Linked DNA regions of Drosophila melanogaster. The protein of the gene in region 1 purifies or fractionates together with the protein of each later gene. This does not show direct contact. Each region holds a gene or a part of one and is shown on either strand. Other genes may lie near its edges.

Region 1 (7,392 bases):
TTGATTTTCGCCGGAAAGCAGCTGGAGGACGGACGTACTCTGTCCGACTACAACATCCAGAAGGAGTCGACCCTTCACAGTCACTTTAAGTGGTAGAGAGCGAAAACAAATTAACCCACCGTGAGGGAGAGAGCAGGCGGCGAATTTCCAGTCAACTTATACCTATACCTATAAATACCAGCGCGCTGCTGTAAAACGAATCGTAAGCTGTGAAAAAGTCGTAGAGAGCGGACGTCCGAGCAAGTGAAGAAAGCAAGTTTTTGAATATTTCAAAAAGTGCAGACCAAATGTAAAGAAATAAATTAGCTTTTCTGTGCGAAACAGGAAAAAAATTCCGGTTAGTTTGGCAAGTGTTTCATAGTTTTTTTTAGTTGCTTTTAAAATGCCGAAGCAACAAGTGCAGTAAGCGAAAAAGGGTGCATTCCATGCATCTGTGTGTTTTTTTTATATACGGCAGGAAAATGAAATTCAAAGATACCGTCCACCGTCCGTAGATGGCATGCACGATTCATAACTCTCAGCTAGAGAATTATGCCTACGTACTAAACAAAAATCTCTGATCTCTCTCCTGTCCTTGTCAAGCTCACCGGCACTGCCAGTCAAAGTATTTTATCGGTGAGCAGGTCATGGTCAGATCCGACGAGCGATGCGGAGATCGTGATGGGGACTTTGTTCCCGCCCTTGAGGAGGCACGCTAATGAAGTCCATCGTCTTCTGGCTTGTGGCAGTCATAGAAGCTGTAGGGGCCAAAGTCTCCACATCTACAGCTGCACTGCAGTCGCTAGTTTTCGGCTGCTTGCTCACCCCTCGCTCCGTGAATTGGAGTTCGGACTCCTCTTGTAGGGGATCTCGATAGGCTGTAGCTCCTCCTGAACGGGTCGTTGGGATCGGGCACTGCCTCCCCTGTTCTGTCCATCTGATCTAATGGGCGGACTACGGCTTGTTGGTCACCAACGTTAGAAAGGGATCCATTGTGGGCCACGGATTTCTCCCTGGCGTTTTACCGGTGGAGGTTTATGCCGCCTCTAATCGGACACCAGAGCCTTTGCTTAGGCATCAGAACGGCGAGAGGATGATTAGTTGTCTGTCCGCGACCTTTAAGCCTTTTCCCTTTCTAAGAGGTTGTTCCGCTCCGAAAGAATCAAAACATGTTTAAATTCTTAATTCAAATTTTAATTTTAATTCAAATTAATTAATCCAAATTCGAATTTGAGCATGAACACACTTGTCGTGTGTGTGTGTGTGTGTGTGTATGCCCAGTTCCAGGGGATTTTATTATTATTTTTTTTTGACTAAGTTAGAGATTAGTCACCAAACCTAAATTTACTGTAAATTAACGAAAAAACCAATAATGTTTGTTTTCTGTATGTGTATGCTAAAATACTCTTCTGGGTCGCGGGAATTGGGTCACTACGCAGAAAATCAATTTCCTTCCACTTTCCATTACTCAGCCAACTTTTTTCCTTTTCCATTTCTCCACTCGCAGCCAATATGCAAATTTTCTTTAAGACTCTGACCGGCAAGACCATCACTTTGGAGGTTGGACCATCCGATACCATTGGGAACGTCAAGGCCAAGATCCTAGACAAGGAGGGAATCCCCCCAGATCACCACGTTCACCATGCGAACGGAGGTGGAGCGCATGCTGACGTTGATTGCCCAGGGATCGGCTAACTTTCAGGATGTTTTGCGACACGCCATCAAGATCTTCAAGCTGAAGTTTATGTACTTTGTGAAGAACATCGACAGCATGGACGCACTGTTTCAGGTATCCTTCTCGCCGCTGGCCGAGTCGGGCATTGCACTGCTCTACCGGCAAGATTGCACTGCTCTCATTGCGATGAGACATACGCCCTGCCCATTGGAATGTGAAGGTGTATCGCGAGTTCAAGTGCCCGCTGGATGATCTGCTGGCTTTCTCCACTGGCGTGAAGGGGCGTTCGTATCCGTTCTGCCCGTACTGTTACAACCATCCGCCGTTCAGCGACATGCCCCACTTGGGGGGCTGCAACACCTGCACGAACGCCAACTGCCCGCACTCGCTGAACACGCTGGGCATCTCCAGCTGCGTGGAATTCCATAATTGTAAAACATTTCTTATATTTGGATCCATAAATACATTAATTTATTTCTTAATATAAAGCAAACTTAATGAAATCTCGTGTAACTTGGAACTATTTTATAGTAAGAAGCTACCAATTCCAAAAAAAACTTCACTTTTTTGGAAGGAAAAACTTTATTTTGTTTTTTTTTTTTTGTCATATCATGGGGAATACATGTACACTGGATTGTTAGTATGAGAAATTCATGACAATTATTTGAATAATTGTATATATTATCCTATATCTTTAGTTTGTACTTAAAGAGTTAATAACGTTTACTATTTTAAGGGGTTACATCAAGGGTTAAGCTGCTGAAATCAGCATACATCAGATTTCATCAGACCCTTCCATTCCTGGAACTTTCCAGATGCAATTGTAATGCATATGTACATATGGAAATAGCATTGTACGCATACTGGCTTATGTGCGAGTGGGTTGGTGGGAAATTTTAAATTGTTGGGCTCTCTTGTCTAAAGGCTGATGACCAAAGCGAAGACAAATCTCCCAGGCGGCGTCAAAACAAAAAAAGGTCGATTAACTCGCCAAACAAAGAACGTCACAAGAAGATGTCTGTGCGTCTACATGCATACATATGTATGTATATACAAATTTATACACCTCCCTCTGTTAGAATACACACACAAACGCATACACTTCAACAGCTGAGATTAGTGTTGGAAAGAGGGTCAGGCAACTTATCGATAACTCCGCTCTCTCGCTCACGAGAGCGAGCGAGATAAAAGCAGTGCACATATGCACTACGCATTTTGTTTTCAATGCCCAATTTTGCGTATTGCAGCTAGCCAATTGATTGGCCTTCATGTGTTAAATACTCTTGTCAATGCGAAATCTCATTTCCAATAGACTAGACAAAAGAAACGGTCACTTTAAGTGGCAGAGAGCGAAAACAAAGTAACCTACCGCCCGAGAGTGAGCGAGAGAGCAGGCGACGACTTTCCAGTCAGCTGCCTATAAATACCAGCGTGGGGCTGCGAAACGAATCATAAACTGTGAAAAAGTCGTAGAGAGCGGACGTCCGAGCAAGTAAAATAAAAGCAAGTTTTTGAATATTTCAAAAAGTGCAGACCAACAGTAAAGAAATAAATTAACTTTTGTGTGCGAAACAAGAAAATAAGGTGAGTTCAGTTTGGCAATTGCTTAATAGTTTTTCTTAGTTGCATTCAAAATGGCGATGCAGCAAGCAGAAAACGGTGCTTTCCATGCTTCTATCTATGTGTGTGTGTGTGTGTGTGTGTGTGTGTGTGTGTGTGTATGCCCAGTTCCAGGGGATTTTTTTTAACGAAGTTAGAGATTAGTCACCAAAACTAAATTTGCCATTTCATGGCGAAATAATGCAAGCTGTGAAAACATTAACGAAAAAACCAATAATGTTTTCTGTATGTGTATGCTAAAATACTTTTCTGGGTCACGGGAATTGGGTCACTACGCAGAAAATCAATTTCCTTCCACTTTCCATTACTCAAGCCAACTTTTTCCCTTTTTCATTTCTCCACTCAGGCAATATGCAAATTTTCGTTAAGACCCTCACTGGCAAGACCATCACTTTGGAGGTTGAGCCATCCGATACCATTGAGAACGTTAAGGCCAAGATCCAGGACAAGGAGGGAATCCCCCCAGATCAGCAGCGTTTGATCTTCGCCGGAAAGCAGCTGGAGGACGGACGCACTCTGTCCGACTACAACATCCAGAAGGAGTCGACCCTTCACTTGGTCCTGCGTCTGCGTGGTGGCATGCAGATCTTTGTGAAGACCCTCACTGGCAAGACCATCACTTTGGAGGTCGAGCCATCCGATACCATTGAGAACGTTAAGGCAAAGATCCAGGACAAGGAGGGAATCCCCCCAGATCAGCAGCGTTTGATCTTCGCCGGAAAGCAGCTGGAGGACGGACGCACTCTGTCCGACTACAACATCCAGAAGGAGTCGACCCTTCACTTGGTCCTGCGTCTGCGTGGTGGCATGCAGATCTTTGTTAAGACCCTCACTGGCAAGACCATCACCTTGGAGGTCGAGCCATCCGATACCATTGAGAACGTTAAGGCCAAGATCCAGGACAAGGAGGGAATCCCCCCAGATCAGCAGCGTTTGATTTTCGCCGGAAAGCAGCTGGAGGACGGACGCACTCTGTCCGACTACAACATCCAGAAGGAGTCGACCCTTCACTTGGTCTTGCGTCTGCGTGGTGGCATGCAGATCTTCGTTAAGACCCTCACTGGCAAGACCATCACCTTGGAGGTCGAGCCATCCGATACCATTGAGAACGTTAAGGCCAAGATCCAGGACAAGGAGGGAATCCCCCCAGATCAGCAGCGTTTGATTTTCGCCGGAAAGCAGCTGGAGGACGGACGCACTTTGTCCGACTACAACATCCAGAAGGAGTCGACCCTTCACTTGGTCTTGCGTCTGCGTGGTGGCATGCAGATCTTCGTTAAGACCCTCACTGGCAAGACCATCACCTTGGAGGTCGAGCCATCCGATACCATTGAGAACGTTAAGGCCAAGATCCAGGACAAGGAGGGAATCCCCCCAGATCAGCAGCGTTTGATTTTCGCCGGAAAGCAGCTGGAGGACGGACGTACTCTGTCCGACTACAACATCCAGAAGGAGTCGACTCTTCACTTGGTCCTGCGTCTGCGTGGTGGCATGCAGATCTTCGTTAAGACCCTCACTGGCAAGACCATCACTTTGGAGGTCGAGCCATCCGATACCATTGAGAACGTTAAGGCCAAGATCCAGGACAAGGAGGGAATCCCCCCAGATCAGCAGCGTTTGATTTTCGCCGGAAAGCAGCTGGAGGACGGACGCACTCTGTCCGACTACAACATCCAGAAGGAGTCGACCCTTCACTTGGTCTTGCGTCTGCGTGGTGGCATGCAGATCTTCGTTAAGACCCTCACTGGCAAGACCATCACCTTGGAGGTCGAGCCATCCGATACCATTGAGAACGTTAAGGCCAAGATCCAGGACAAGGAGGGAATCCCCCCAGATCAGCAGCGTTTGATTTTCGCCGGAAAGCAGCTCGAGGACGGACGCACTCTGTCCGACTACAACATCCAGAAGGAGTCGACCCTTCACTTGGTCCTGCGTCTGCGTGGTGGCGCCATCTAGATTTTTTCACCCTTATAAAAATTGAAGTTAGTTAGTTGTGCCACAGGGCATAACTCAAGAATTCATACTAAGTTTTAGTAAATTGGTTTATTCAAAGGCACAAAATAATCAATCACAATAATTATTGGTATTCGAAGAATAAAATTTTCAATTTGTGTGTTCAATGTAATACTCTATGTAGTTTTTATCTGTGTTTCCCAGGGTTTTTAATTTTGTGGGGGATTCTTGATAGAAAGTTGCAATAAACATTGGATGGCGTTGGAGTGGTGGATTTAATTTGAATATTTAAATTTGTAATACTCTATTGTATTTTACTGGAATTGTACCACAGGTACATTGGAATTATTGCTTAGGTACCTTATGTGGTATATTTGGGGTATTTTGTGTGACCAGCTGACTCCAACGAAAAGTGGAGCCGGCCACACTGGAATAGTCCGAAAACCTGTTAGCTTGCGTTATTTAGTTAAATTTGCGGAGAAGAGCAGGCAGGCGCAGTCAGGCAAGATGAGCAAGGAAATCCGTTTGGCCACCGTCAACGAACACAACAAAGCCACGGATCTGTGGGTGGTCATCGACAACAAGGTCTACGATGTGACCAAGTTCCGTCTCGAGGCAAGTGGCGATGCAGATTGTTGGTTTTAGGGGGGGGTGGCGAATCCATCTAATTCGATGCCCTTATCTCCAGCATCCCGGTGGCGAGGAATCCCTGGTGGATGAGGCCGGTCGCGATGCCACCAAGGCCTTCAATGACGTGGGTCACAGCTCGGAGGCGAGGTTAGAGAGTCCATCTTATAGCCAGTGCGCCTGGATCACCTGATTCACATTTCTTCCCCACTTGCCTTTTCAGAGAGATGTTGAAGAAATACTACATTGGTGACCTGGCTGCTGCGGACATCAAGAAGAAAAGCCCAATTAGGTGAGAATCCTGTCCAGCAAGTGCATGCAAAGACCCAACCAAGCCAAAATGCCATATCATCATGTAAATAAAGAAAGCCCTGCGGATTTCCCTTCTCCGCTCCCACACGGATTGATCTCCTTATCTCGCTAGAACACCAGTATTCCTGATAAGGCATTTCATCATCATCATTTCGTACGCTCCACTTTCCTTAATGCATGAAGCTCCTATTCCGACCACAACCGGTTTCGCATGAGCATGGCCTGCGTTTCAATCAATAAGTACAATTAGCCAACTCTTATGTAATCCATTAATTGCCTCGAAGCCCCCAAAGTTTCACGCTTCACGTGTCCTGAAAGTCTCTATTTCGTACACTTTTTGGTGTACTACTTTGATACCCTTTGATACGATTGGATACCCTGAAGAAGATAATGATGATACAGAAGTGTTCCTTAAATTATATCAATTATTTATATTCCCATATAGAGTATCAACTTTTTCTTTACCAACCGCTAACAAAGCCACAATACTTAATATTTAATGAATCTAATGAATCTCAACTTGCATGTATGATATTTGCTCCATTCAAGATTTAATTCCTTCTCAAGCACGAAAATAAGGTTCTACAAAAGCTAGTTGGACTTGTAAGTTCTAACCACTGACCTGTGTACATATATTACCCATCATGATTAACCCAAAGCACACGTCAAGCAACTGGAATTATGTACATATATAAATGTGATAATCTAGAATACCAACAATTTGCACGCTGTAATTGGTCACTCTTTGGTTTTGTGAATGGCACCCCACCTTGACTTGCGTTTTTATTTTGATTCTTGGTTCTGTGCCTTGGTAAAGTGCCACGCCTACTGATGCCGCCGCCACCCCCAAGCAATGCTGCATCCTAAGTTAAATCAACCCCTCTAGAAATGCCTGCAAAACCGTGTAATCCTAGCTAGCTAACCAAAGTGCACCCAGTTTTGTTGTTGTGACACCCAGTCGGTCGGAGTGCCTTATCCTGACCATGATACTCCCATTGATTTAAACCGCCTTTCATATTCTCTATTCCATGCAACAGCTGCCGTCATGTGGCACTGGCCCTGGGCGCCGCCTTCATCGGCATCTCGCTGGTCTATGTGATCCGACGCGGTGTGGCCAGAAACTAGTCTGCGGCCGGACTGCATTACGAGATTCCAGATATATTCCCCCAATTTGGGAACATCAATTTCCTCACACATTTGACACGAAATAAATTGTACAAATTGCT
Region 2 (8,101 bases), about 10 Mb from region 1:
CTTCTTGCGCCCGCTCGGCAGAAATTGTACACGTTTTTCATTTCGAAAAGTCCAAATTGCCCATTTTTTGGCCATAGACCACAGACTTTAACATGGCCCTGACGTCGCGCTTCTACAACGAGCGGTATCCGGAGATCGAGGATGTCGTTATGGTGAACGTGCTGTCCATCGCCGAGATGGGCGCCTACGTTCATCTGCTTGAGTACAACAACATCGAGGGCATGATCCTGCTGTCGGAGCTGTCCCGCCGGCGCATCCGCTCCATCAACAAGCTGATTCGTGTCGGCAAGACCGAACCGGTGGTGGTTATCCGTGTTGACAAGGAGAAGGGCTACATCGATCTGTCGAAGCGTCGCGTTTCGCCCGAAGATGTCGAGAAGTGCACCGAGCGCTTCGCTAAGGCCAAGGCCATCAACTCACTGCTCCGCCATGTCGCCGACATACTCGGCTTCGAGGGCAACGAGAAGCTGGAAGATCTCTACCAGAAGACCGCCTGGCACTTCGAGAAGAAGTACAACAACAAGACGGTCGCCTACGACATCTTCAAGCAATCGGTCACCGATCCCACCGTCTTCGATGAGTGCAACCTGGAACCGGAGACCAAGGAGGTCCTGTTGAGCAACATCAAGCGGAAGCTGGTCTCGCCCACTGTCAAGATCCGTGCGGACATCGAGTGCTCCTGCTACGGTTACGAGGGCATCGACGCTGTCAAGGCATCGCTCACCAAGGGCCTGGAGCTGAGCACCGAGGAGCTGCCCATTCGCATCAACCTGATAGCACCGCCACTGTAAGTACCTGTAAACTATTGTAATTTCCCTTGGTGTAGACGAAATTAACGAGGGTTTCTTTAATTAAAAGAATACGAAAATTGTAGATTTCTGTTCTTCATTTTAGCCGAAATTTATCGTTAAATAATAAGGAAATCCCTTTCATCTTGTATATATTGTAAATGACCACTTGGTTAAGAGAAAAACTTATATTCAATTTAATTTTACAACTTCTTGTGAAATCGAAATAACTAAAAATGTTGCTTAAATGAGTTAATTGGTTCCTAAACGTAATCGCTCTTCATCCGTATCCTTTTAGCTATGTAATGACCACATCCACTACCAAGAAGACAGACGGTTTAAAGGCTCTGGAGGTGGCCATTGAGCACATTCGCGCCAAGACCAGCGAGTACGATGGAGAGTTCAAGGTGATCATGGCACCCAAACTGGTTACGGCCATCGACGAGGCGGATCTGGCCAGACGCCTGGAGCGCGCTGAGGCCGAGAACGCCCAGGTGGCTGGCGACGATGACGAGGAGGATGGCGCCGACCAGGAGGGCATGCAGTTCGATCCAGAGAAGGAGTTCAACCACAAGGGATCGGGGGCGGGTCGTGCGAACGAGGAGGATGAGGAGGAGGAAGAGGATTAGCGTAGCCACAGCATCAGACACAACTATAGCAACTGTAACAAACAATTAAAGGAGTTTTGCAAAAATCAGAAGTTGTAATTTTATAATTTATATACATAACATATAACGAATGCTATTAAAGATTTATAAAAGTGAAAACAGCGAGATGCCCAAGAAGACAAATCAAAATGCGCTTGCTCATCTTTTTCTTTTCAAATCCAAAACAATACTATCGACCATTTATTATTGAACCCAATTCAGTTTTTCTTGACAGACCCTTAATACTAATTCAAATTGTGTATAAGTGTAATATTATTTAATAGTCAGGCATTCTTTCGTTTTTCTTTTGTATTTACTTGTTTCATGTTTTCGTTGATGCGGCTTGTTTCCATCACCGTCCAGATTTTCATTCATTAAATTTTAGATTATATCGCTTACTATTCTCTCTAGAAAAAACCAACCCACCTCTGCTTTAAAAATGACCCGGTAGTGCTGCGTAGCACCCTAATTAGATATTGTACATCGTAACAAACGATTCGTATAAAAAAAGTGACATCAGTTTATAAACATTTCACTAAATTAGAAAGGTTTTCGTTTCGGTATTCATTGCTTTGTGGTTGTGTATAGTCCTTACTATTTCCTATTTGACTTTATATGTGGCGTGGCGTGGCTTATTATTTGGTATTGCTCGGAGTATTTCGTTGGAACGGCTTCCAGTTAATGGGGTCCAGTCTGTTCATCATCCTATTGCAATCCGGTTTCTGGCTATGGGGAGTTCGGCTTTAGGTGGTGGTGTGGGCTGTGCGTCTAGCCGCGTTCAGCTGAGTTCGCTCCCCGAGGCGGCATCGTTGCGGTGGAGCAGCACGGACCTGGCCGCCTGCTTGTTACCGCCGCACAGGCGCAGCACGGTAAGCACATCGCTGCGAGGATAGCCAAGGGCCATGAGATCGGTGACATCCTGTTCGGTGAATCGTTCTTGAGGACTGATCGTGTTGGGCCCGCCACCGGCGCCACCGCTCTCCCGTTTGCTTTGCTCGATTGCATTGGAAATCGCCTCCTGTTCCATCGAATCCTCCGAGTTTCCTGTCAGCCGGGCGCTGACCGGCAGCTCACTTTCCGGCAGAAAGGGTGTCGTTGTTCCCGTGGTGCCAATAATCAACAAATTACGCTGCAAGTCAATCAGGCACTGGAAAAACCAATTCAATTAGCATTTAGGCGACGTAATCTGATGCTATCTAGATTTCATTACCTGATGTCGCTTCAGCATGTCCAGACCCAGCAACATGTCCATGGGTTGCTGGCCCAGCACGGTGAAACTGGACGTTAGGTGATCGTTCTCAATCTGCAACTGGACCATGTGTATCCTGCCCAGAATGGGCTGTGTGCCAACGCCCTTGGCCACACCATTCCAGCGTGTGTCAATCAGACGGTTGACATGGCATCTCTCGGCGCAGTCTTTGCTCATGATCGTCGTCTGGGCGCCAGAGTCCACAAAGGCCTTCACAGGAATGCCATTCACTTTGCAGTTGATATAGCTAATAATATGCAATATTGCAATGAGCCAATCCAATCATATTAATTATTTTTACCATTACTTACAGCATTGTAACCGTGCCAAAGATCTCTGGATTGTATTCAATGGCAGCCGCCATGTTATCCTGGATATTCTTCTGCTTGATCTCTTCGGCAATCAGACGTTGAGTCTCCTCATCGAAGGGATCGGCGTTTAGCATGCGCATGCGGTGCTCGTTACGACGCTTTCGCTCCGTAATATGCTCGCGAAGCAGCCGAGCGAACTTTTCCTTGTCGCCGGAATCGATGGCTTCCGCCAGGCTGGGATTGTACTGCCGGAGGAGCGACAGAGTCTCGGGACTGGACAGAAACATCTGTCGCACCGTCTCTGGGTCGTCGTCGAAGTTCACATTGAACTCATCGGTCGTGGGTATGTCCGTGAGGTTGTTGAACTGCGGCTGCTGCACTCCCTGCTGCTGCACCCGCCTTGACGGTGGACTGCCGCCTGAACTAGTGCCCGGCACGGCGATGTTGCTGAAGTCGAGCGTGCTGATCGCTGGATTTCCGCCAACTGAAATTTTTGAATGAGACGAAAGATTAATCGATTGAGGTAGTTTTCTATTGCGTTTCTTTACAGGATTACATTTGTCAATATTCGAATCGATTACATTGAATATAGTTTAAAAGACAATTTGTGGTCAGTGCAGTTATCTGCTACAAATCGAGAAAATTATCAACATATTTACGCGTAAAATGGAACAAATTTTGAGAAAGAAAGAGCAAGCAATACCTAAAAACCTCAACAAATTTTGCCCAAATATAATCTGGCTTGCAGATTGTGAAATAAATGATTGCGTATAACTCATGCTAATTACCATACAACAAACATTTATATACATATGTGCATATGTATAAACGTTTGTCGAGATAGATTAAATCACCGTCATCCAATTTGAATGGAACTTAATTAATCTGTGATCTATAATCGAATTAAAAACATCAGACTAGCGAGATAAACCAATGCAAGTGCAGTTGTGTTAACTAGATAATATGTACATATCTGTAGATAAGTGATATGTAGTTGAACTCATTTTCTGGCTGCCAAATGAGCTTGCTCGCGTGCGAGTCATGGAGTCCAAAGTGCTGTGCAATGGTCAAATGAAATCGAAAATTGTTCACCGCCCACACCTGTCTGCAGTCGCCAAAATGTGTGCACATGTGTGCAGAAATACCATTCATACATATGTACATATGTATATAGCAAAACAATTATATATACACGATCCCATTTCAATGGACAAGCTGACAAGGCCAAATGCGCATTCAGGGGTCAACAAAACAGTGGTCCGGCCACAGTGGGCGGCCCAAGTGGGTGGATCCATGGGGCTGAGACTGAGGCAAAGGCAACGCACCTGCTGCTGCTCCTCCACTTTCATTGGTATGCCCATTCCTCACCGAACCCGAACCCCCCTCTCTGCTGCAGTGGAAACAGCACACACTTCCAGTGTTCTTTCCCGTGTCTGTGTGCCGCTGTTTTTTTGGAATTTGCGAAAAGAAAGTCAGACGAAGCAAGGCGTTTATTTTTAACACCAATTGCGCCGCAAAAAGATGAGCTGTGCTCGCTGCGCTTTTCCATAAAAATCTAGCAACTAATAACGCCAACAAATTAAAAAAAAAATGAGCACAGTTCAAATTTCACATTGCAAAAGTATTGTTAAATGAAATGTTCGCACTACGTATTCGGGGTTTCCCGGTTTTTCCTAAATATTATGTTGCTGAAGTATTTTTTAAGCGACATTTGAATATAAACGTGTTATGGATCATGTAGGACAATAATTAATTTTATTATTGTGCGAATTCGCGTTATCTGACCAATGAACCCCCTTCACCATCCTCCAAAACACACTCAAGATCCCCCCCCCTCCACGGGGAAAAACGTGACCCACATAAGGATAATGGCTCCCCCTCTCTTCACCCCGCTCTTTCCACTTTCCCATCTCGTTTCCATTCCAACGCCGAATTTCAACTCTCTCTCTCTCTCACCTGGGCGATTGGCGCTCCTGCGTCGTTCCAGCATGATGAAGTCGCCGTCGCCGACTCCGCACTGTTGCAGCGTCTGTTTGTCGCTGGAAAGCTCCCGCCCGTTGAAAATTACCGCTATTTGGGACACTTCCGCACCGATCTCCATCGCGCAGAGGGCCTTGAGATTCTCCAGCTCAAGATCCTGGGCCACGTCCAAGCAGAAGACCTTGTCATCGCTGGTCGTCACTGTGATTTTCATTGCCGCTGCGTACTGTGTGTATGTGTGTTGGCGTTTCTGTGTTACCGTGGTTTAGGTGGATCGAATGTTAGCGAGCGCGGGTATGTACTGCACTGGTGGGTGGCAAAGTGAATCACAATCTCTGCTGGTCTAGCCTTTTCGCCTTTATCTTTGCTAGCTGGATGGGTGTGCTGATATTCTGCTGCTCGCTTATTGTTTTGACACAACAACGAAAACGCCGCCTCCACGCGGTTGCATGCGACGCCTTATCGATACTATTCGCGGTCTGACTATCGATAGTTGAATGGGATGGCTAGAGCATTGCTCATTTGGAGGTATTACGACGAATTTGGAGAGACAAATGATTTTCCTCTTACCTTAGTTTAACATATTTCTCAAAGGTAAGCCAAATGGAGCAAAAGCTAAATATAGATAAAATTTCATCGATATATACCATCACTGCAGGTATCGATACATATCGATGACTCATGTGCTGTCATCGAAATTTTATTGTATTTACTTTATTCAATTGGAGTCACTTGCAGCGTTTGGACACCAAGGAGCTTTTCGAGGAGCATAGCGAGAAACCAGATAAGCCACCATGTCCACACAGCAAGCGGAGAATGAGGAGAGTGCAGCGGCGAAGTCCAAGCGACCTTCAGGTGAAAACCCAGTTTCATGCGAGTCGCCCCATCCAAATCCCAATCCCCCAATAACACACTCACACACACTTGTCTGCGTAACAAGTGATAAGGAGGGGAATGACTAATATCCAATGGCAAATCGATTTTCGGGGCCCATCCTGGTGTCCCTGCATTAACCATGAGGTCATGCCAAGTCGCTCACGTTTGCCCGTTTCCCATGTTGTCCACCCACAGATTCGGCCTTCAAGCAACAGCGCCTGCCCGCCTGGCAGCCCGTCCTGACCGCCCGCACCGTACTGCCCACCTTCTTCGTTATCGGAGTTCTATTCATACCCATCGGCGTGGTCCTGCTCCACCTGAGCAACACCGCCAACGAGCTGATCATCGACTACACCAAGTGCAGGCGCTCGGGCGGAAATACCACCTGTGCGGAGTATCTGGAGGCCAACCCCGGCGTTACGTGCCCCTGCGAGGTGCCCTTCGTCCTGCCCTCGGACTTCAATGTGAGTTATAGGGATCCAGAGCTTCAGTAGCTGTCCAGCTCAATTAATCAGCTCTTAGTTTAGGTAGTGAAGTAGTTCAAATGAAAAGCTATATGCTGCTTTTATAATCTGCAAGGCATTTATCAACATTGCTTTTAGCAGGTTTGGAAAAGATATTGATGATATTGATAGTGGATTTGGATTCCTTATAATACTTTAGAAAGAGATTCTCATTTAAGTATTTCGTTAACTTCCTTTTTTAAAGGGTGTGGTATACATGTACTACGGACTGACCAACTACTATCAGAACCATCGGCGCTATGTGAAGTCACGGGACGACGAGCAGCTGCTGGGTCACCTGTCGCAAACGCCCAGTACAGACTGTGCCCCCTTCGCCTATGATCCCGATTCCGGAAAGCCCATCGCGCCCTGCGGTGCCATTGCCAACTCGCTGTTCAATGGTGCGGCACAGAAACTACCTTGACTGTACCGCAACTAACATTGATATCTTCCAGACACGCTGACCCTCTTGCAGGGTGGATCCGAGATCAAGCTGCTGAAGACGGGCATTGCCTGGCCGTCGGACAAGCGCGTCAAGTTCCGAAACCCAGAGGGTAACCTGAACGTCTCCCTTGAGGGCTTCTCAAAGCCAATTTTCTGGCAGAAGGGTCTGGCCGACCTGGACCCGGAGAATCCGGACAACAATGGCTTCCAGAACGAGGATCTGATCGTGTGGATGCGCACCGCCGCTCTGCCCAGCTTCCGGAAGCTATATCGCCGTCTCAACCAAACGAACACCAACTATGCCAACGGCCTGAAGTCTGGCAATTATACGCTTAACATTAAGTATAGTAAGTACGAATGGCTGGGATATCGCGAATGCTGTATCTAATGTATTTGTGTTTTGCCCTTCAGATTATCCGGTGGTGTCGTTCGACGGCACGAAGCGAATGATACTCTCCACCACATCCGTGCTCGGTGGCAAGAACCCGTTCCTGGGCATTGCGTACATTGTGGTGGGTGCCATTTGCATCACCCTGGGCCTGGCCCTGCTATTTATTCATATGCGATGCAGTCGCAGGTGAGTTGATCATCGCACATCGTTGATTCATCCTCATTGTACCGATCGTCATTCATCCTGCCCTTATCCCCCACTCCCACAGCATTATAGTTCATTAAGTCTGCTAAGAGTCGAGTATTTCATTCCCCATTGAAGCCGAATCGTTTCTCATGGCCAAATTAGCGTTTTGCTCGGTGCGCGATAAGTATTGACAATTAAGTAGCGTTTGATAGTAGCGTTTTACCTAATCGGGCACTGGCCAAAATGATTGACACCTCCTATACTAAGGGCTCTTGAACTAATCATGGTTTTATTTCTGTTTACCCAACAGCAACATGGAGATGATCAACGTGAACCCGCACACGCAGTACTCCTAGACCGAGCACCGTCAGTATTCCGGGCCGCTTCACTTAGCTTTAGTAGATCCATTTCTTTAAGCCTTATCAGCATAAAATAGTTTCTATTAACCCATTTCCATTAACGTGTTCTCGACTGCTCTTCTATTTTTTATGTTTTCTAACTGTGTGCACTTGGCCACGCGATGAGCAGCTGTCCAAGTGCCTTTTGTTGATGTTCTGTTCGTCCTTGATCCTATATGTGTGCACCCAATTTGTGATTTTTTCTATAACCTATTCCACCGCACATCACACACAACAAACAGTGGATACCCTTTGCAACATCCACACGAATTTCCACCATTGCTTTAGAAACAGCAAAGTAATACTTTGTGCCTGACTTAATCTGCAT
Region 3 (6,908 bases), 9.5 Mb from region 1:
CTACTCTGCATATATAAAATTAGTTATTTCTTTTATTTCAAAACAAACAATTAGGTTTCTATAATACCTTAAGCACTAAAGTTATTCGTTTTCATACGTTATTGACTCGCTTTTGAAGTTGTGCACCTGTTCGTACCACACATCATCCCCATCTTGCTGCGGCTCGCCGTAAAACGTTGGGAACGGTGGGGCTTCCTTATTCTTTCGCGTTGGCAAGATGGTATCGTATATGTAGACCAGACCGCCGGTGGGGCCGGCCACCGAGCTCCCTTGCACCCACATAACATTATATTTGGTGTTAATGCGCCACACGCGCAGACCCTTGATGATGCGCCACCGGTTTCCCATGTGTCCCGGCATCTTTGTGCCTGGCCAGACGCGACCCTTCTCGCCACCACCGCCAATGTTGCCGGCACGTCGATGAGTTTTCGTCACACCGTGCGATGCTGGCATGCCCTTAAATCCGTGTCGCTTGACAACACCTTGGAAGCCATGGTCAACTCTGCAAAATATAAGTAGAGTACGTATAACCAGCGCTTAGACGTATGTACTTACGTTTTGCCGCGAACATCGACGAAGTCACCAACGCGAAAGTGGTTGACATTTAGTGGAGTGCCTGGCGCCAGTTGGGCTTCTGGAGAGACGATGAATCGGGCCAGGTTCTTCTTGGGGAGCACACCCGAGTTGCGGAATATGCCCGCGTACTCTTTGGTCAACAGAGCTGGGTTCGTGGTCTCGGAGCCAACGAGAATGCAGCCGCGCTTGTGCAGGTTGGCTACCGTGGGAACTTGGGCAGGTAAATACTCTTCCGGGGGAATGTATTTAATGACATGATTGTCGACGATTTGCAGCAGCGTGGTGCGAATCCGCTCGCCATTCTTTAGCCACAGCGGGTACTGGCCAATTTTGCGCGCTATAACGCCGCATCTTCGCAAATTCGGAGTCCACACAGCCTCATTGGCGGTTGGGCCCGCGGTCTTGACCAAACTATCCTTAATAACTGCCGGAACGCCAAAGTTATTGGTGCCCACTTCGTTGACGAACTGCTTGTTCTCCGCCGTCATCAAATCGTTGTATTTCTGTTGCAATAAAACGCAAATGAGTAGTTTGTTTATAGATAAAAAGATATATGTCACATACTGTAATTTCCTTGCGCAGAAACCATTGGGGATTCCGCAGTCGAGGTCTGCTCAAATGGCCCTTATCGCGCACCTGCGTAACCAAAACACTGCTATTTCCACTGAGCCTGAATGGAGAAACCAGAATTTACTAAATGGCCACTATAGCAACGATAAGTGTACCCACCGGAGACCCAGTAATTGATTAATAACGCTCCGCATCATACTTATATAATATAATTTAACAAAGCATAAAAGCGAGCCGGTGCAGAATAACCAAAAGAGCTGTCAAAACATCGGCCACAGTATCGATATCAGCGATATTTGGGGCACGGCTGCTTGACCATCGATTATTTCTGGTCAATTTCGATTCCACATGCTCTTATAATTGGAGTAGTGGAAACATGATGTGATTATTATCGCAACTATGTAAATCAGAAATTGTAGTTTTTAATAAATTTGTAACATTTGTAATACATTTTGGTAATGAATTCACCCCTCTCTATGTAACGACGCGCAATGTTGTTCATTGACAAAATAGATGATTCACAATTCGTGCTAAGCTATGCATGCTGCAAACTTTAGACGCTTAATAAACATTTGATATCTATCAAAGAAGTTTTAGCGCTTTCATTTTGTTTCCCAATCATTTCTGTCAATTAAAGTTAGAGAATGGGAGAGAGTAATGCGTTGAAATGCGAACAAGTAAGTAACAGGTGGTTGTTGGAACGCATGAGAAGTAGATGGCACGGCAAAAGCTTATGGACACTCCTGCAAATGTTAGTGTCGCGGTGGAGACAGGGTATTTGATGCGCTTAACAGCACAGTTAATATACTTAACAGCACGTTCAGATAACTTGTGTATTTTTATCAGACCTACATTAATTTTTTTTTCTAATCGGAGATTTAACAGTCAAAGTAATATATATATATTGTGGTGCATTTAGAATACAATGAAACGAAATATGCAATTGATGCTGAATAATATCGCGTAATTGATGCGAAACGCGCGACACGACACGGCCAATTTGCGTTCTTCGATCAGAGCAACATTAGATATTGGGAAATTACTCATACACTAATGTTTACTCTGTGAGTAATTTTAACACGGGCACAAATGTGTGTGCGGTTGCGGTACGCGAAAAACTACCGACGGTTGCCTTTCGTAACTAAGAGCATTTATTTTTGTATAAGTGAATTCCAATGGGCTAAAGTCATATGAAAAGCGTCTAAACATGAGCCCCTCGACGATTCGTTTATAAGGATTTGATTTATTTATTTATTTGTGATTCCATTGCATTGCGTATGTATGTGTGCTGGTGTGTATCTACGTATATGTATGCTGATATATATATATTATTTAGTTTTTTAAACAACTACATGCATGCGAAATAAACAAAGGATTTGGTGCTGCAGTTGAATTTCATCCCAGGGGTATGTCCGATATCGAAATTATGGTGTTAGTGGCCTCGCAACCTGTTTTAAGATCGAATGTTTACATATGTACATCGAAATTTAACAAGTTTATGCAAAAAAAAAGAGGAAACGATAAAAACTCTCGCCCACCCCTCCCTTCAACACATTCTTATGCACATAGTGTTGTAAAGTGCGCATATGAGTTATTTATCAGTAAGCGAACATAAACTAAAGTTATTTTTAAATAACAAATGTACACAACATACAAATACAGGCGGTGCACATCTGTATGTATGCAAGTATGCAAGTATGCCTGTACATACCTAGCTTCATGCAACAATTTTAAGCGGGCTTAACTGTAAAAAAAAACCGATAAGATAATTTAAAACGGAATGTTTAACTGTTTTTTAAGCCCCAAAAATCCACCATAAGTTCGTATTCAACAGGTATTAAGGTATATCTAGCGAAAATACATAGCAACAGCTGTGTTTTTACTCGTTGCGCATTCCATCAGTGGAAACTCGCCAACAAAATTTCCCATGATCTTGAATTGCACTATCTGAACTCGGCTTTAAATAAATACATATATATTGCATTATTTCAATGCCTAACATTTTCATATATATAACTATCTCTTAGGCTTATAAAGTTATCAAGGATTTTTAAAGTTGTTGTAGTCAAAGAAAGTGAAAACAGGTGATTAACTGGTTATCAGTAATCAATGGTCCTATGAGCCGGATAAAAGTACTTTGCGAATTTGAATGGAAAGACTATTATTGCGTAAAGGGGATATGTTTTGTGAATTGTTTTAGTTAGGGTGTATATACATTTATCTGCGTCATTGTTTCCTTGATAACTTGGGCCTGGAATCCACTAAAATTTGTTTAAAATATATATTGATTAGGCGATTATTTCTGAGAATTCTCCGTGCCTGCGCCTATCTATCTTAAGATCTGATAAGAAAAACATATACAACAATGACAATGTAGTAAACAGGCGTCTGTAAGCAACTTTATGATTTAAATACACCCATAAATAAATGGCATTCAAAGTGTATTTTCCAAGTGGCTGACTTTCGCAATTTTTATTGAACATGATTTTCAATTGCAAAGTCGGTTTTGCATTTATGTAATGGCGACGACTTATCAGCCTGTGGCTGGTTTCACTGTAATAGGAAAGTGTTCGCAAGTGTATTTAAACTTGTTTTTGGTAAACGCTTGTACATATGTATATGTTTGCAAAAGATAAGAAATTTACTAGAGTGTGGGTCTTGCTCGGTACACAGACGATAAGAAATTAACAATAGTCCGTTCTTGATGAAAGTTAGTCGTTGACTGCCCACTTTTTATCGTGGCACTGTGTTTCAATTTATCTTTTTATATAATCTCATCAGTTTGCTTTTCGGATCTGCTCTTATTTTCGGAATTTCACAGTTTAAAGTTTATCGAATGTGGGGAACCGACCTTAAATCAAAATCACAATTGCCAGAGCTCTGCGCGATCAAAACGAATAAATATAATACATAATGGACTTCACTTGCTAATTATTGGTCAATTTAGGCTATAAATTCATATTCCGGTGATTGCGATGTACTCAAAATATCGTTTTTAAACCACACAAAGCAATGGGTTCTCTAAAAGAGAGAATGCAAGTTCTTTAATACAGAGTTGATAAGAATCGAGTGAATCATGTTTCTTCATGCTAGAACAAAATATTTTCTCAAAGTAACTTAGCGTATTCTTGGCCGCTCAGCCGCAATGCAAGTTTTGCGCAATTAACTCTACTTGTTGTTTAAAAAGATATCTTATATCAGTTGTCTTTGCAGGAAGGATTACCAATATGCATAATCCACCAACTGATAAACAGTATTTGCATTGAATAGTAAATATATAAAAGGAGCGCAATTCCAGCTGTAAATGTTGCAAACACCGCAGTTTTCTCGAAACTCAACCGACAAATCTACACAATATATCACAATATATCAGTCACTGCGAATGCACTTAGCTCTGTGGAAAGCAACATCGAAAGAACCTAAATAAAACTGAAACTTAAACTGAAAATCACAGCAAATATTCAAATTCAATATTATTAAAAGCAAACGCAAACATCATGGGCGGCGGCAAAAATGTACGCCGCGGCTTGGAGCCTCTGGAGTTCGAAGAATGCATCGTCGACAGTCCGGACTTTCGCGAAAATTTAAATCGACATGAAAAGGAACTGGACCACACTAGTCATCAAATAAAACGAATTATCAAAGAGGTCAAAGATCTTATGAGTGCGGCAAAGAGTAAGTAGTACAATCCATTTACCGGAGGGCGTAAAACGTGTGTCTGTTTATTAAAGTATACAAAAAATGATTTATAAATAATGCCTATTCACATATGCTTCCACATATCTTCTTGTCCTTCTGATTCCCGATCCCTGGTATGCTTGAAACACGTATTGAATTCGGGTCCAATCGACAGGCGTTTTAGGTACTCTTGATATTCGTTTAGCGTTATGAAACGCATATTTGGACACAGCTGTGTCACCTTCCGATGGTAGTCACAGGTATGATCCTGTACCCAATGGCGTGGCTCCATTAGCTCCACCTCCGTGAACTCCACATGCGTATCGAGTACACTCGGATTGTTGCGCACGGTTAAGAGCAAACTGCTGTTAAACACCGAGTCCCGCAGAAGTGTGATGACATCGGGCGACTTGCTAAACTCCTTTAGAATGTCACTAAATTCGGGCATCTTATGGAGTTCCTCACTCCTGAACTTCTTTAGCATGAGGGGCGGCAGGAAGCTGAAGCGAATTTGACTTAAAACCCTATAGGTGCTCGAACGTCGCTGCGGCCAAAGATGCGCTAGCCACATTAAGGCGGAATATAAAAGCTGTGTATTCATATATCATGGTTATACTTCTACTATACTATAGATATAGAACTTGCCTCCATTTCCGAATTGATTGCCAGAAAGTTGGACTTGAGTATGTAGCAAATTTGTGTTTCGCTGAGGCACAGGAATTCCCGAGTCGATGCGACTGGCAAAATTGAAATGGAAATGCGCCCAGTCAGCTTATCGAATACATCCCACAAGTTGGTGGCGCCTCGTAATTCGAACAATAGGCGAAACGCAGAGATCTCAAAGAATGTTATCCTATCCAGGTTCGCCCAACAGGCCTCGAGCAGCTCGGGAATGTCCAGGAAGTATGCGGCCCTCAAAATTTCGCCCATATCGCACGGATTAACCTCGCCATCACTGGAAATCATCCATAGATATGCGTCGCTGAATCCTTTCGGGCTCAAATCATTCGACTTAAAGACAATATGGTCAACATCTTCCTGCAATATTTTCAGCATTCGCCTTGAGTAAATACTTAGTATGATATTGTGGCAAAGGAAGACGCGATCGTGAACAGTGACTATTATATCCGCACACTCGTAGTTCTGGATGTAAGGCACCAGGTATTCCTCTGGCGGCACTTCGTGGTCTATTTCGACAATCTCGGACTCCGTTGGATCTTCCTTCAGTGTTCGTATACTATTTGCAAAGTTCAGAAATGTCTGTTCCAAGTAGCAAAGCCTTTCGCGTGTCCTAACATTGATGAAATGGACATATGGACATTGGGAATTTATTAGCTTACTTAGGTTGCAAAGGTTCGGGGTCAGGAACAGGATCAGGATCAGGATCAGGATCAGGATCAGGATCAGCATCAGCATCAGGGTTTCTTTTACTCGCCAAAAAGGGCCTCGTTTTATACATGTTTTTTTTTTTTCGTATATCTGTGCTGTATTTATGTGGTGGGAAGTGAGGCAAAGACGTCTAGTTCTAATGAGATTTATGTTATGTTTGATGTTTTCCCTTTTGCTTTCATATTTATTTCAATGGTTTGTCAAATTGCATTTAAATACTTTTTCAGTCCTGTCCACTCGAATGAAACAATTGGCCATTTTACTTAACGATTTTAACTTTGAGTGCATTGGCACTGCTCAGACCGACGATGAGAATGTCATTTGTGAAAGTCTCAAGCGATTTGGTGCTATAATTGGCAATATTGAAGATGAGCGCGAAAAAATGGTAAGTTGGCTTGTCTGATCGGGTCATATAATATTGGTTTCCAAATTAGTGAGAATCTGAACAATCTATTAACAATTACCAACTAGCTAACGCTCGCCGATAAACATATTATTGAGTCACTGGAGGATTTTCGAAAAAAGCAAATCGGTGGCGTCAAAGAAAACAAAAAGAAATTTGATAAAAAGACGGAGAAATTTTGTCAATCGCAGGAGCGTTTCCTCAATATGTCAACTAAAAAGCCCGAAAACACAATACAGGAGGTAAGTTATTTCAAAATTTTTATTTTTTGCAATTGCCATCGAAAAGCTAT

What was found.
Region 2: the proteins of Ubi-p5E (region 1) and rngo purify together in Drosophila melanogaster (affinity purification with western blotting, with the first as the bait; one study listed by BioGRID). This does not show direct contact.
Region 3: the proteins of Ubi-p5E (region 1) and Graf purify together in Drosophila melanogaster (affinity purification with western blotting, with the first as the bait; one study listed by BioGRID). This does not show direct contact.

What each region holds. Positions count from the first base shown.
Region 1 is NC_004354.4:6,274,982-6,282,373, reverse strand, and holds Ubi-p5E (Ubiquitin-5E), read left to right. Parts: upstream 1-2,726; 5' UTR 2,727-3,238; intron 3,239-3,620; 5' UTR 3,621-3,625; coding exon 3,626-5,230; 3' UTR 5,231-5,498; downstream 5,499-7,392. Other genes in the region: CG11700 (uncharacterized protein), read left to right, coding at 1-96; CG3566 (uncharacterized protein), read left to right, coding at 5,735-5,842, 5,916-6,004, 6,078-6,146, 7,204-7,291.
Region 2 is NC_004354.4:16,438,871-16,446,971, reverse strand, and holds rngo (rings lost), read right to left. Parts: upstream 5,420-8,101; 5' UTR 5,190-5,419; coding exon 4,952-5,189; intron 3,480-4,951; coding exon 2,996-3,479; intron 2,932-2,995; coding exon 2,646-2,931; intron 2,583-2,645; coding exon 2,214-2,582; 3' UTR 1,605-2,213; downstream 1-1,604. Other genes in the region: eIF2alpha (eukaryotic translation initiation factor 2 subunit alpha), read left to right, coding at 93-787, 1,087-1,417; Cdc50 (cell division cycle 50), read left to right, coding at 5,770-5,830, 6,047-6,315, 6,560-6,755, 6,810-7,145, 7,210-7,375, 7,686-7,731.
Region 3 is NC_004354.4:15,755,769-15,762,676, reverse strand, and holds the start of Graf (GTPase regulator associated with FAK), read left to right. Parts: upstream 1-2,027; 5' UTR 2,028-2,437; intron 2,438-2,482; exon of another isoform or gene 2,483-2,552; intron 2,553-4,359; 5' UTR 4,360-4,643; coding exon 4,644-4,821; intron 4,822-4,909; coding exon of another isoform or gene 4,910-5,368; intron 5,369-5,451; coding exon of another isoform or gene 5,452-6,283; exon of another isoform or gene 6,284-6,359; intron 6,360-6,440; coding exon 6,441-6,598; intron 6,599-6,684; coding exon 6,685-6,858; intron 6,859-6,908. Other genes in the region: mRpL3 (mitochondrial ribosomal protein L3), read right to left, coding at 82-502, 556-1,079, 1,141-1,246, 1,306-1,343; CG8260 (uncharacterized protein), read right to left, coding at 4,910-5,368, 5,452-6,240. UniProt on the Drosophila melanogaster protein: GTPase-activating protein for Rho family proteins. Essential component of the CLIC (clathrin-independent carrier)/GEEC (GPI-anchored protein-enriched early endocytic compartment) endocytic pathway.